3 linked regions of the Sus scrofa genome follow. The protein of the gene in region 1 binds, or shares a complex with, the protein of each later gene. Links are inferred from orthologs where the notes say so. Each region holds a gene or a part of one and is shown in the gene's direction. Other genes may lie near its edges.

Region 1 (3,236 bases):
ATTTCTTGGGCCGCTCCCGCGGCATATGGAGGTTCCCAGGCTAGGGGTTGAATCGGAGCTGTAGCCACCGGCCTACGCCAGAGCCACAGCAACGCGGGATCTGAGCCACGTCTGCAACCTACACCACAGCTCACGGCAACGCCGGATCGTTAACCCACTGAGCAAGGGCAGGGACCGAACCCGCATCCTCATGGTTCCTAGTCGGATTCGTTAACCACTGCGCCACGACGGGAACTCCCTATACACAAATTCTTTTTGTTTTTGTTTTTAAATGTGCTTTTATGGAATAAAAAATGATTTGTCATTTTACATTTTGTTTTTTTTTCTCCCCAACCTCTTTTCCTTTTAGGTTAAAAATTTTGCAGTTATTTATCTTGTGGATATCACAGAAGTACCTGACTTCAACAAAATGTATGAATTATATGATCCGTGTACTGTCATGTTTTTCTTCAGGTATGTTCTCTTAAAGTTGTTATTTAAATTGAATAGATGGTCTGGAAGTTTAATGTAATCAAGATATCTTTAGATTCTTTTCTTTAGGAGGAGGTCAGTTATGCACTCATATCATAATATGGTTTGTGTCACCAGGCAATCAGTGTGATCTTTTAAATAATTTTCAAAGTAGCAATTACAGATTTAGCATTTACAGTAACACATTACCCTTTTGAAATAACTGCCCAGAAAACTAAATGAAGTGTAATTAAGTGGAAGATGTTCTTATTGACATTTCAGATACCTTTAAGTATAATATGTTGATGAAAAAATGTTTAAAATAACTGACTTTTTAAATATGATATCAATGACTTTATTTAGTGTCCTTTTGTGATAGCCAGAAGGAAAACCTTTACTTAATTACTTTGCTTAGAAATACAAGATTATTTTATCAGCTGAAAAATTCTGTTGCTGGAGTTCCTTTTGTGGCCCAGTAGTAATGAACCCAACTGCAAGTTCAGTCCGTGGCCCAACTCATTGGGGTAAACATCTGGCGTTGCCATGAGCTGTGGTATAGGTCACGGACGTGACTTGGATCTGGCACTGCTTGTGGCTGCGGCATAGGCCAGTAGCTGTAGCTCCAGTTCTATCCCTGACCTCACTGTAGCTCCAGTTCTGTCCCTGGCCTGGGAACTTCCATGTGCTGTGGGTGCAGCCCTAAAAACAAAACAAGACAAAAACTCTTTTGTGGACTTTAATCAGTCAGTTACTGACTCAAGGAATAGAATTTCCCTAATCGCCTTAAATTAATTTGTATCCATGATTTACAAACTTTGCATGAAAGGAGAACATAGAGTGGCTACTGGTTAGGTACATGGGTGTCCAATGCAGATGCAAATACGTTTGATTGGGGTTTATAAAGTTAAGTAGCATCACAAGTGAAAAAAAATTCTCTTGTGGACATTTAATTTGGAAAGAATCACCATTTCACAGTTTTTACTTGTCAAAATTTCTTACTGTTGGAGTACCCATTGTGGCTTAGCAGAAATGAATCTGACTAGTTTACATGAGGATGCGGGTTCAATCCCTGGCCTCACTCAGTGGGTCAGGGATCTGGCATTGCCGTGAGCTGTAGTGTAGGTCACAGATGCAGCTGGAATCCTGCGTTGCTATGGCTATGGTGGTGTACGCCAGCAACTGTAGCTCCAATTCGATCCCTAGCCTGGGAACTTCCATATGTCTAGGGGGTGGCCCTAAAAAGAAAAAAAATTCTTAGTTTATTGTTACTACAAAAGTTAGTAAATAGCAACATAAACATTAGGCCATACTCCAGAGGTAGAGCTTCACAATTAGAGAAGTTCTGGGTAGAGTATATAGGGTGTAGATTAGCTTTCTGTTCTGTTTGACAGTGTGCCCAAACTTGGTGGCTGAAAACAACACCATTTATGAGCCCAAGGTCTGTAGGTCACAGTCCAGGCAGGCTCACTGGGTTCTGTCTTGGGGTCTCAAGGCCATAGTCACAGGCTGGGCTTTTAGCCAGGCAGTCAGTCAGGGGGGAATCTACTTGGCTCTTGGGGACTATTGGCTGAATCCAGTTTCCAGTTCTGGGTGGACATGGGAATGAGGTGTCTTTCCACCTGGGCCCCTCTGTGCTCCTAGAGGCCCCTCCAGCTTTGAAGCCCTCAACCAAGAGTTGAGTCATTTTTACACAGTTGCTCTAACTTCCTGTTCTGCTTTCAGAGGGCACACTTGATGGATTAGACTGTATAATTCTGGGGCATCTCCTTATTTTAAAGTCAACTGGTGGGTACTTGTAGGGATACCTGCAGAATTCCCTTTGAAGTGCAGTGTAACTGATCGGAGGCATGATGTCATCTCATAGTCCTGAGGATTAGAGCAGGAAATAGCAGAGGTTATTTTAGGATTCTGCCTACTGCAGTCTGCCCTTTGGCTCACAAAGATTCAGATCCCTCTCGTATGCAAAACTGAGTGTGGATGAGGCTTCTCTGGGTGACCCATTAAGCCCAGCTCCTGGACACTCTTTCTCTGTGGCCCCTCCCCAGGATACAGTGTGGGACAGGCATAGGGAACAGTCTGGGTTCACCAGGAGCAGGGCTTTGATGCAGGGCTAGGATCATCCTCTTGGTCCAATGCCTGCCCTCGGGAGGGTTCTCCCCAGCCTTTTCTGCCTTTTTCATGAATGGCATTTCAGCTGGCTTATTTTTCAGCCTGCTTCCTGCCAGCAGCATGAAGTTGTAGTGCTTCCCCTCGGCCTGAGCAGGTAGAGTCTGTCCTGGGTGCCAGAGCTTGCTGGTTGCTTCCTGGGAGAAGATCCTGTCCTTTGAACATTCTGACCTTTAGGTCTTTTCCAGGTTTCAGTAGGTTATGTGGCTTCTGTGTCAAGAGTTCAGCACCCATTTCTGGATTTCAGCATCTTTTGCTATTTGGAGAGGCTGAGAATTTGTTGTTGTTGTTGTTGACAGTTTTTACAACCAGTTTCTCTCTTCTTTTACTATAAGGCCTAGGAAACCAGGCAGTGCCTTCAAGACTTTACTTCTGTGTTCTCAGCTCTTATCCACATGCATCGCTTACAAGTGTCACAGACATTCTGCCACTGTGTAGCAAAGATCCCTTTCCTCCACTCCCTGGAACATGTCCCTAACTCCTTGCAAGTCCATATTTCTACTAACAGGCTATTTAAGGCAATCCAGGCCTTTTCTGTTATGCTTCTCAAAGTTCTCCAAAAGTCCTCCAGGTGGGAATATGGGTGCCGCCTTAGATCCTGCTTCTCACTGCATGTGGCC
Region 2 (4,155 bases), on another chromosome or scaffold:
GTATCAGAGCCACCTGTGCGACCCACACCAGCGCTCAGAGCAAGGCCAGGTCCTTAATCCACTTATCAAGGCCAGGGATTGAACCCTTGTCCTCAAGGATACTAATCCAGTTCCTTACCTTTGAGCCACGAGGGGAACCCCCAGAAAAGTATTTCTTTAAAGCTAGCTATGGGTTTGCAAACTTTTTTTCCTTTGGTCTTTTTAGGGCCGCACTCTGCAGTCTATGGAGGTTCCCAGGCTAGGGGATCAAATCGTAGCTGTAGCTTCTGGCCTAGGCCACAGCAAAGCAGATCCCAGCCACGTCTGAGACCTACAATTGCAGTTCATGACAACCCCGGATCCTTAGCCCATTGTGTGGGGCCAGGGATCCAATCCCCTGTCCCCAGGTACTGGTTGGGTTCCTTACCACTGAGCCACAATGGAAACTCCTACACTGAACCTTTAAAAGAAGGTAGGGGAGTTCCTGTGGTGGCTCAGTGGTTAAGGAATCCGACTAGGAACCATGAGGTTGCCTGTTCGATCCCTGGCCTCGCTCAGTAGGTTAAGGATCCGGCGTTGTGCCTGAGTTGTGGTGTAGGTCGCAAACGTGGCTTGGATCTGGCAGTTGCTGTGGTTCTGGCGTAGTCTGACAGCAACAGCTCCGATTAGACCCCTAGCCTGGGAACCTCCATATGCTGCAGGTGCAGCCCTAGAAAAGAAAAGAAAAGAAAAAAAAAAAAAAAAAAAAGGTAGGGAGTTCTCCTTTGTGGCTTAGAGGATTAAGAATCCAACTAGTATACCTGAGCGTGTGTTGGATTCCTGGGGTCGTTCAGTGGATTAAGGATCCCCTTGTTGCTGCGAGCTGCGGCTCAAACCCACATTGCTGTGGCTGTGGCTAGGCCGGCAGCTGCAGCTCGATTTGACTCCTAGCTTGGGAACTTCCATGTATCTGCTCTGTGGCCTTAAAAAGAAAAAAAAAAAAAAAAAAAAAAAAAAAAGCGGTAGATTCCTGTAAAAAAAAAAAGTTTTTGCTTTTGTTTTTTAACAAAAATTGCAACACAATAAAATCAGTGGCGGAAAAAATATTTATGTTGGTCTTCAGAAGATCCTTGGTTGAAATGAAATATAACCCAGGGAAAATCAAACGACTCAAACGTTTCTATTTTGCAGTCTTCCAGGTTGAGGAATATTTTATTTATAAGGCAAGATATCTTTAATTTGTCTTGGAAACTTGGAGGGCAAAGTATCTGCTGAGGCCGCAGAATGTTCAACGCACTGATGTATTCCCCCGGATCTCGTTGCGGAGGAAAGAAGTGACTCCGAGCGATTCACGTAGGACTGGCCCGATCGCACGCTCGGCCTCAGATTGGTCGAGCCTGGCCGGGCTAGGGGAAAAAAGCGGAAGCGCGCTCTTTCAAACTCGCCTTCCCAACGTCGGTAGAGGCTGGCCACTTCCGGCGTAGCCATGGCGGCTAACGCTACGACTAACCCGTCGCAGCTGCTACCTCTAGGTAATCGTTGTCCTGTGGGGAGCTGGGGAGGGGAGCTGAAGGGTTGCGGGCCGAGGGCCAGCGCAGTCCTTGACTGAGTGTTAGAGAAATGTATCTGACCAATTGTTTTCTTTATCCGCGGCTCTTTGGGCTCTAAGGCTCTGAGGCCTCAGGCCGCCCGCGTCTTTTCGGCGTGGAAGGGTTTTCTTGAGCCAGGACTTTCTGAGTTCTCACACCAAACCGTCACTGGAAAAGGTTCACACTTAGTGAATGCGTCGTCGGCCTTTTTTGTTGTGAGTTCGCCTTTACAGTAGTGGATAGCAGTCCCATTCTTCTACCTGGCATTTAAAATCCCTAGGTTAGACCCTGTTGTCTGTCTGGCCCGTTATTGAGAGAGGTAGCGGGGTCTGCAATGAGCTTTAAAAGGGGACACTGGAAATTAGCTCTGATTGTCATTCATTTATTCCACAAACAGTTTTTGCGCATCTGTAGACTAGACATCGTAACTTAGCTTCAGGTAGCATTCATGCCAGCGCAGGAGACAGGATGCCAGACAATTAAACATCATACCAAGTAACAGTAATTCTGCTGAAGAGATATTCAAGCTGCTCTCAGAGAACAGAGGATAGCCGTCTTGGGGCTGGGGAAGACAGTTATGTCTTTTTCTAATATTTTGTATCTGAAGGGTAATTAAGTTAGTGGACGTGGCGGTAATTGGAAAGTTTTTTCCTTCATTGAACAAAAAAAAGTTTCTTTTTAGGCCCGCACCCGAGGCACATGGAGGTTCCCAGGCTAGGGGTCCCATTGGAACTGTAGCTGCTGGCCTTCGTTTCTGCTGCGCCACAACGGGAACTCCCGAGACCTGAAGTTTTTGAGTGAATCCTTTTCTTGGTTTATCTTTCACCATATGTAAGTAATAAGTGCCAGTAAGTACTCACATATTTCTTGAAGTAATGAATGTGCAAAATAATTTTTTTCACCCCTCCCCCCACTTATTTTTCTTTTAAAAAACCTGTATCTATAGAGCTTGTAGACAAGTGTATAGGATCAAGAATTCACATTGTGATGAAGAGTGATAAAGAGATTGTTGGCACGCTTCTCGGATTTGATGACTTTGTCAGTATCCTTTTAAAAAGTGGGGGTATGGGTTTTTCTTTGTTTTTTAATTAAAAAAATTTTTTTTTGTTATTATTTTTTATGTCTTTTCTAGGGCTGCTCCCATGGCATATGGAGGTTCCCAGGCTAGGGGTCGAATCGGAGCTGTAGCCACCGGCCTACACCAGAGTCACAGCAAAGCGGGATCCGAGCTGCATCTGAAACCTACACCACAGCTCACGGCAACGCCGGATCCTTAACCCACTGAGCAAGGCCAGGGACGGAACCCGCGACCTCATGGTTCCTAGTCGGATTTGTTAACCACTGCGCCACGACGGGAACTCCATCTTCAGTTTTTTTTAAAAAAGTAAGAACTATAGTCAGTGCTTACTGATTATTATAATAAAAATTAATTTATTCTCATGGAATTCGTGGTAGTGTTTTAAGGGGTGTGTGTACCCCTACCAATCGCAAGCAATTTGAATTTGAGTCATTATGTTAAATGTTATTTTTTTATTTTTATTTTTTGTCTTTTTGCCTTTTCTAGGGCCGCTCCCTCGGCATAGGGAGGTACTCAGACTAGGGGTCTGATCGGAGCTGTAAGCTGCTGGCCTACGCCAGAGCCACAGCAATGATGTATCCAAGCCACATCTTCGACCTACACCACAGCTCATGGCAACGCCAGATCCTTAACCCACTGAGCAAGGCCAGGGATTGAACCCGCAACCTCATGGTTCCTAGTTGGATTTGTTAACCACTGAGCCATGATGGGAACTCCCAATGTTATAATTAAAACTGAACAAAGACAGAAGCCAGAGTAAATTTAACATGGTATATATTTTCTTAACACCAAATTTCAGATATGGTACTGGAAGATGTCACTGAATTGTGAGTAGTGTTAAAAATTAAAGAATTGGGCAGGGGGAATCTCTCTTTAAGGCAGTTGTAGCACTGTTGAGTCAGTAAAATGATGTATGAGAAAACACTGCCTGTTTGAATCACTAACATAGAAATTTTATGACTGAGGTTAGTAAAATTGGATTGTAGGATTATTACCTTAATTGTTAGGAAATTAGTGGAAACAAAGCTTTAAGGTAAAAGACACTAAAAGCAGTGAGGGATCTTAGGGCTCAGATCAAAAGTATTTAATACTTTGAATTGAATATAGAAAATGTAAATGATGGCTCAATTATATTAATTATAAAGATTGTGACCAGTAGTAGATCTGCTTTCAGAATTGAATTGATTACAGAATGGTATAATGGATAGGAAGCAGAAGCAAATGAATGGTTAAAAAAAATGAGGATAGTAAACATTTTATTTCATATTTGATCTCCTAGGCAAGTTTTAGCTTTTTAAGTGAAGATCAGCCCTAGTGGATGTGGATCTTAGATGAGCCCGTCAACTCTATTCCCTGTGGGGAAGAATAAACCAATGGATAACTTTTGTCTCATGTTTTCATTTATATATAATAATTAGCCTTTTGGGGGAATCAAAATGTTGGCTTTGACAATCACTGTTTATCCTGACTTTTTGTTTTGTTTTAATTTTTTCTTTATTTTTATCCTGACTTTTTAAAAAATCTGTTTAG
Region 3 (4,300 bases), on another chromosome or scaffold:
TCTGAGTCAGGCACTTTGCTGGTACTTTGTGTGTGTCTTTTTAGGGCCTCATCTAAAGCATATGGAAATTCCCAGCCTAGGGGTGAAATCAGAGCTAAAGTTGCCGGCCTATGCCACAGCCATGGCAATGCAGGATCTGAGCCATGTCTGCGATCTGCACCACAGGTCACGGCAACACTGGGTCCTGACCCACTGAGAAAGGCCAGGGATTGAACCCGAATCCTCATGGATCCTAGTTGGGTTCATTACTGCTGAGCCATGATGGGAACCCCTGCTGGTGCTTTTAAACACACTATCTCATTTACCAAAAGACCTAAGAGGAAAGTTTTACTGCCTCAATTTTAAGGATGACAAAATGACACTCACCTAGAAACAAGGCAGCTACTCAAAGTCACAAAGCCACTGAGGAGCAGAGCTGCCACAGAACTTGACTGTCTCTTGGAAGGCCCAGTTATATATACAAAAAACTCTCAGGGCTGCAAACCTCATGCCTACAGGGGCCAAGCAATTACAGGGTCTGTGGGAAGAACATGTGCATCTAATGAAAGTGGCAGTTGCTGATTAGCACCAGGCAAGTCAGCCATGTAAGAAGGTCAGTCCTTTGCTATTTATTTATTTATTTTTTTTTTTTGCTGCACCCTTGGCATGTAGAAGTTCCCAGGCCAGGGATAGAACCTGAGCCACAGCAGAGATAACGCCAGGTCCTAACTGCAAGGCCACCAGGAACTTTCAACAATCCCAGATAGTGAGTCAAACAAAATACTCCTGTAGGGGAAATTTGGACCAGCAGCTGTCGGCCATGGCCATCAGCCATAGAGGATGAATTCCTTTAGCTTCCCTTAATCTTTCAAAAACAAACAAGCTATAACTATTCAGCTATTAGTTGCCATTCCATAGAGCAGAACTCGGGATGGGAAGGCAGGGGATAGGAAGGCAGGAGTGCCTCCAGGGCCCGGATAGGCTTCGTTGTTGGAGAAGAAATTGTTACTGTCTTCAAGGAGTTGGCCTGCCAGGAGGGTAGCTGCTTTCACCGAAGTTCTTCAATCGTGGGGAGGGCCCTGCCGCGTAAAGTGAGACCAGAATGAGAGCTCCGGAGGCATGGGTTTTAGGTGGGACAGGTGGGGAACAGAGCGTTCTTTCAATCGTTCAATATAGAGGAAAAACCCAAGGAAGATATCAGACACAGGCACACAGGTGTTTCAGTTTTCTCAGCCAGAAATGGGGTTCATTAGTTTCTCCTTGCCGGCATAGCTCACAGGACTGTTTCCAGAGGAAGAAGCCGGTAGAAAAGCGCTTGAGACAGGATAGGGGGTAAACAGACGTACGCTTCGCTATGATGTGAGGAGTCTTGGAGGCCGGAGGCCGAGGTGTAAGAAAGTACGGGACGTGGGTCCGGAACCATTGTCTGAGGGTCTCGGAATTCGTCGGTCCAACCAACCGAGCCCATAAGGTCTCAGGAAAGAGGAACGCACACGCCGTAGATACGGTCACCTGCACTTCCGGCGAGCGACCCGGAAGCGGAAGTAAGCTCGTCTCTTTCTCCCTCCATTGCGTCTCTTCTGCGTTGTTTCGGCGCGGCGGTAGCGGATATCCGTGACCGTTGAGAGCGTGCGGTGGGGGAAGAGGAGTGCTGAGACCCCGGAGCAGCGGCGGCCATGGCGGATGTGACCGCCCGTAGCCTGCAGTACGAGTACAAGGCGGTGCGTGCAGGCTCGGCGCAGGGCTCTGGGCTGGGGACCTCGGTGGGGAGCGGGAGTCTGCGGAAGGGAGCTTCTGTCTGAAGGCCTTCGGAAGAACTGCCAAATCAGAGGGGAAGTCAGATCCGGGCGAAGGTGTGGGTACATGATGATAAGACTAATAACCCCACTGGTGTCTGGGACGAGTGGGATGGGCTAAGAGCTCTGCTAGGAGTGTTTGTCCCCTGTCCCCTCAGCGCTTTACCTGCCCTCTTCCGTAAGTCACCCCCAACTTTTCCCAGGTGAGAATTATTGTGGGCAGTGTTAGGAGCAAGGATTGTTCTACCTATTTGATTACCTCTGTCTCACGCGCAATTGTACGATGCTCTTTCTAAGGAAAATATCTTATTCCAACTAATGGTTATCACCTTGTGATAGAGGAATTGGTCCTGCTCACGTCAGAACTTCGATCATATTGTTATCTTTTCAGAACTCGAATCTTGTCCTCCAAGCTGACCGCTCTCTCATTGACCGGACCCGCCGGGATGAACCCACAGGAGAGGTGCTCTCCCTGGTTGGGAAGTTGGAAGGTACCCGTATGGGAGATAAGGCTCAACGGACCAAACCACAGATGCAAGAGGAAAGAAGAGCCAAGTGAGTATAAGGCGAAAATGATTTTTATTCAAATCCAAAGTCCATTTTCTCTTGGTATTTGGGCAGTGTTTTTGCTGAAATGCTTGGTGCAAGGAGACGTAGTGGCATTAAAACTCAGTGAAAGTAAAAACAGAATATAAGAATTGAAAGGTTCTTGGCCTTAACAAGTGTACCTGAGGTGGAAAACAATTTTTAGACCTTTTGCCAGCATGTGTTTCTTGTCCATAGAGAGATCTTAATTTTTTCATGGTATTTTCAAGATTCTTGGTTAACCCTTGTCTCAGTAACTCTTTTCTTCTATTACTAACTTGCCACTCCTACTTCTTTTGTCTTCCCTTGTCCATTTCTATTTTTTCTGTTTTTACATTTTATTTTATTTTTTTAAATTTTATTATGGGGAATTCCCTTCATGGCTCAGTAGTTAATGAACCCGACTAGTGGGTTCAATCCCTGGCCTCGCTCAGTGGGTTAAGGATCTGGCATTGCTGTGGCTGTGGCGCAGGCTGGCAGCTGTAGCACTGATTCAGCCCCTTGCCTGGGAAACTCCATATGCTGTGGATTTGGCCCTGAAAAGGCAAAAGACAAAAAAAAAAAAAAAAAAATTTATTATGGTTGATTTGCAATGTTCTGTCAATTTCTGCTGTATATCTAAGTGACCCAGTCATACATACATGCATAATTCTTTTTCTTATATTATCTTCTATCATGTCCTATCACAAGAGATTGGATATAGTTCCCTGTGCTATACAGCGGCACCTCATTGCTTATTTGTTCTAAATGTAATAGTTTGCATCTCCTAAACCCAAACTCCCAGTCCATCCCACCACTCCCCCCTCCCCCTTGGCAACCAGAAATCTGTTCTTCATGTCTGTGAGTATGTTTCCATACTGTAGATAGGTTCATCTGTGCCATGTTTTAGAGTCCACATGTAACTGATATCATGTGGTATTTGTCTTTCTCTTTCTGACATTTCATTTAGTATGAGGATCTCCATGTTGCCGCAAATGGCATTATTTTATTCTCTTATGGCTGAGTAGTATTCCATTGTGTATATGTACCACATCTTCTTAATCCATTCATCTGTCAGTGGACATTTAGGTTGTTTCCATGTCTTGGCTATTGTGAATAGTGCTGCAGTGAACATAGGGGTGCATGTATCTTTTTGAATTATAGTTTTGTCTGGATATATGCCCAGGAGTGGGATTGTTGGATTATGTGGTGGTTTTCTGTTTAGTTTGCTGAGAAACCTCCATCCTGTTTTCCACAGTAGTTGCACCAATTTACATTCCCGCCAACACTGAAGGAGGGTACCCTTTTCTCCACACCCTCTCCAGCACTTGTTATTTGTTGACTTGTTAATGATGGCCATTCTGACTGGTGTGAGGGGGTACCTCGTTGTAGTTTTGATATGAATTTCTCTGATAATTAATGCTTTTGAGCATTTTTTCATGTGCTTGTTGGCCATCTGTATGTCTTTTTTTTGAGTAAATGTCTATTTAGGTCTTCTGTGATTTTTCAGTTGGGTTGTTTGTTTTTCTTCTACTGAGTTGTTTGTATATTTTGGCGATTAAGCCCTTGTTGGTTGCATCCTTCGCAACTATTTTTTCTTATTCTGTAGGTTTTTTTTTGTTTTTGTTTTTTATGGTTTCCTTTGCTGTGCAGACCAAATTCCACTTTTGTTGTTATAAATATCATTCAAGCATCCATAGTATGAAAGCAGGTGTTTTGTTTTGCTTTCTTTTTGATTTTTTACTTTGGAGGGAGGGCAGTATATTTCCAAAGCTCAAAATCTTTGAGCTTTATCTCATTGTTATCTTTTGACCCTCATCATCTTTGTCTTTCTCCTCTTCCATGATGAAATCACAAAAATTTGTGGGCCCGGTTTTGAGTAAAGCAGTTACGTTTGAAATGAGTTATATATCATTGGTCCTCCAATTTGCAGAATATGTCTTCTTTTCTAGGAATCGATG

What was found. Proteins that work in one complex are often made in the same cells at the same time.
Region 2: TXNL4A (region 1) and LSM5 share a complex: the UniProt entries of both Homo sapiens proteins name them as parts of the precatalytic spliceosome. The link is inferred for Sus scrofa from reciprocal best matches to the Homo sapiens genes TXNL4A and LSM5.
Region 3: TXNL4A (region 1) and SNRNP200 share a complex: the UniProt entries of both Homo sapiens proteins name them as parts of the U4/U6-U5 tri-snRNP complex. The link is inferred for Sus scrofa from reciprocal best matches to the Homo sapiens genes TXNL4A and SNRNP200.

Annotation. Positions count from the first base shown.
Region 1 is NC_010448.4:127,977,886-127,981,121, reverse strand, and holds part of TXNL4A (thioredoxin-like protein 4A), read left to right. Parts: intron 1-349; coding exon 350-453; intron 454-3,236. UniProt on the Homo sapiens protein: Plays a role in pre-mRNA splicing as component of the U5 snRNP and U4/U6-U5 tri-snRNP complexes that are involved in spliceosome assembly, and as component of the precatalytic spliceosome (spliceosome B complex).
Region 2 is NC_010460.4:40,751,039-40,755,193, forward strand, and holds the start of LSM5 (U6 snRNA-associated Sm-like protein LSm5), read left to right. Parts: upstream 1-1,351; 5' UTR 1,352-1,444; coding exon 1,445-1,490; intron 1,491-1,501; exon of another isoform or gene 1,502-2,378; intron 2,379-2,493; coding exon 2,494-2,589; intron 2,590-3,424; coding exon 3,425-3,452; intron 3,453-4,155. UniProt on the Homo sapiens protein: Plays a role in pre-mRNA splicing as component of the U4/U6-U5 tri-snRNP complex that is involved in spliceosome assembly, and as component of the precatalytic spliceosome (spliceosome B complex).
Region 3 is NC_010445.4:46,927,570-46,931,869, forward strand, and holds the start of SNRNP200 (U5 small nuclear ribonucleoprotein 200 kDa helicase), read left to right. Parts: upstream 1-1,496; 5' UTR 1,497-1,655; coding exon 1,656-1,700; exon of another isoform or gene 1,701-1,832; intron 1,833-2,166; coding exon 2,167-2,330; intron 2,331-4,300. UniProt on the Homo sapiens protein: Catalyzes the ATP-dependent unwinding of U4/U6 RNA duplices, an essential step in the assembly of a catalytically active spliceosome. Plays a role in pre-mRNA splicing as a core component of precatalytic, catalytic and postcatalytic spliceosomal complexes.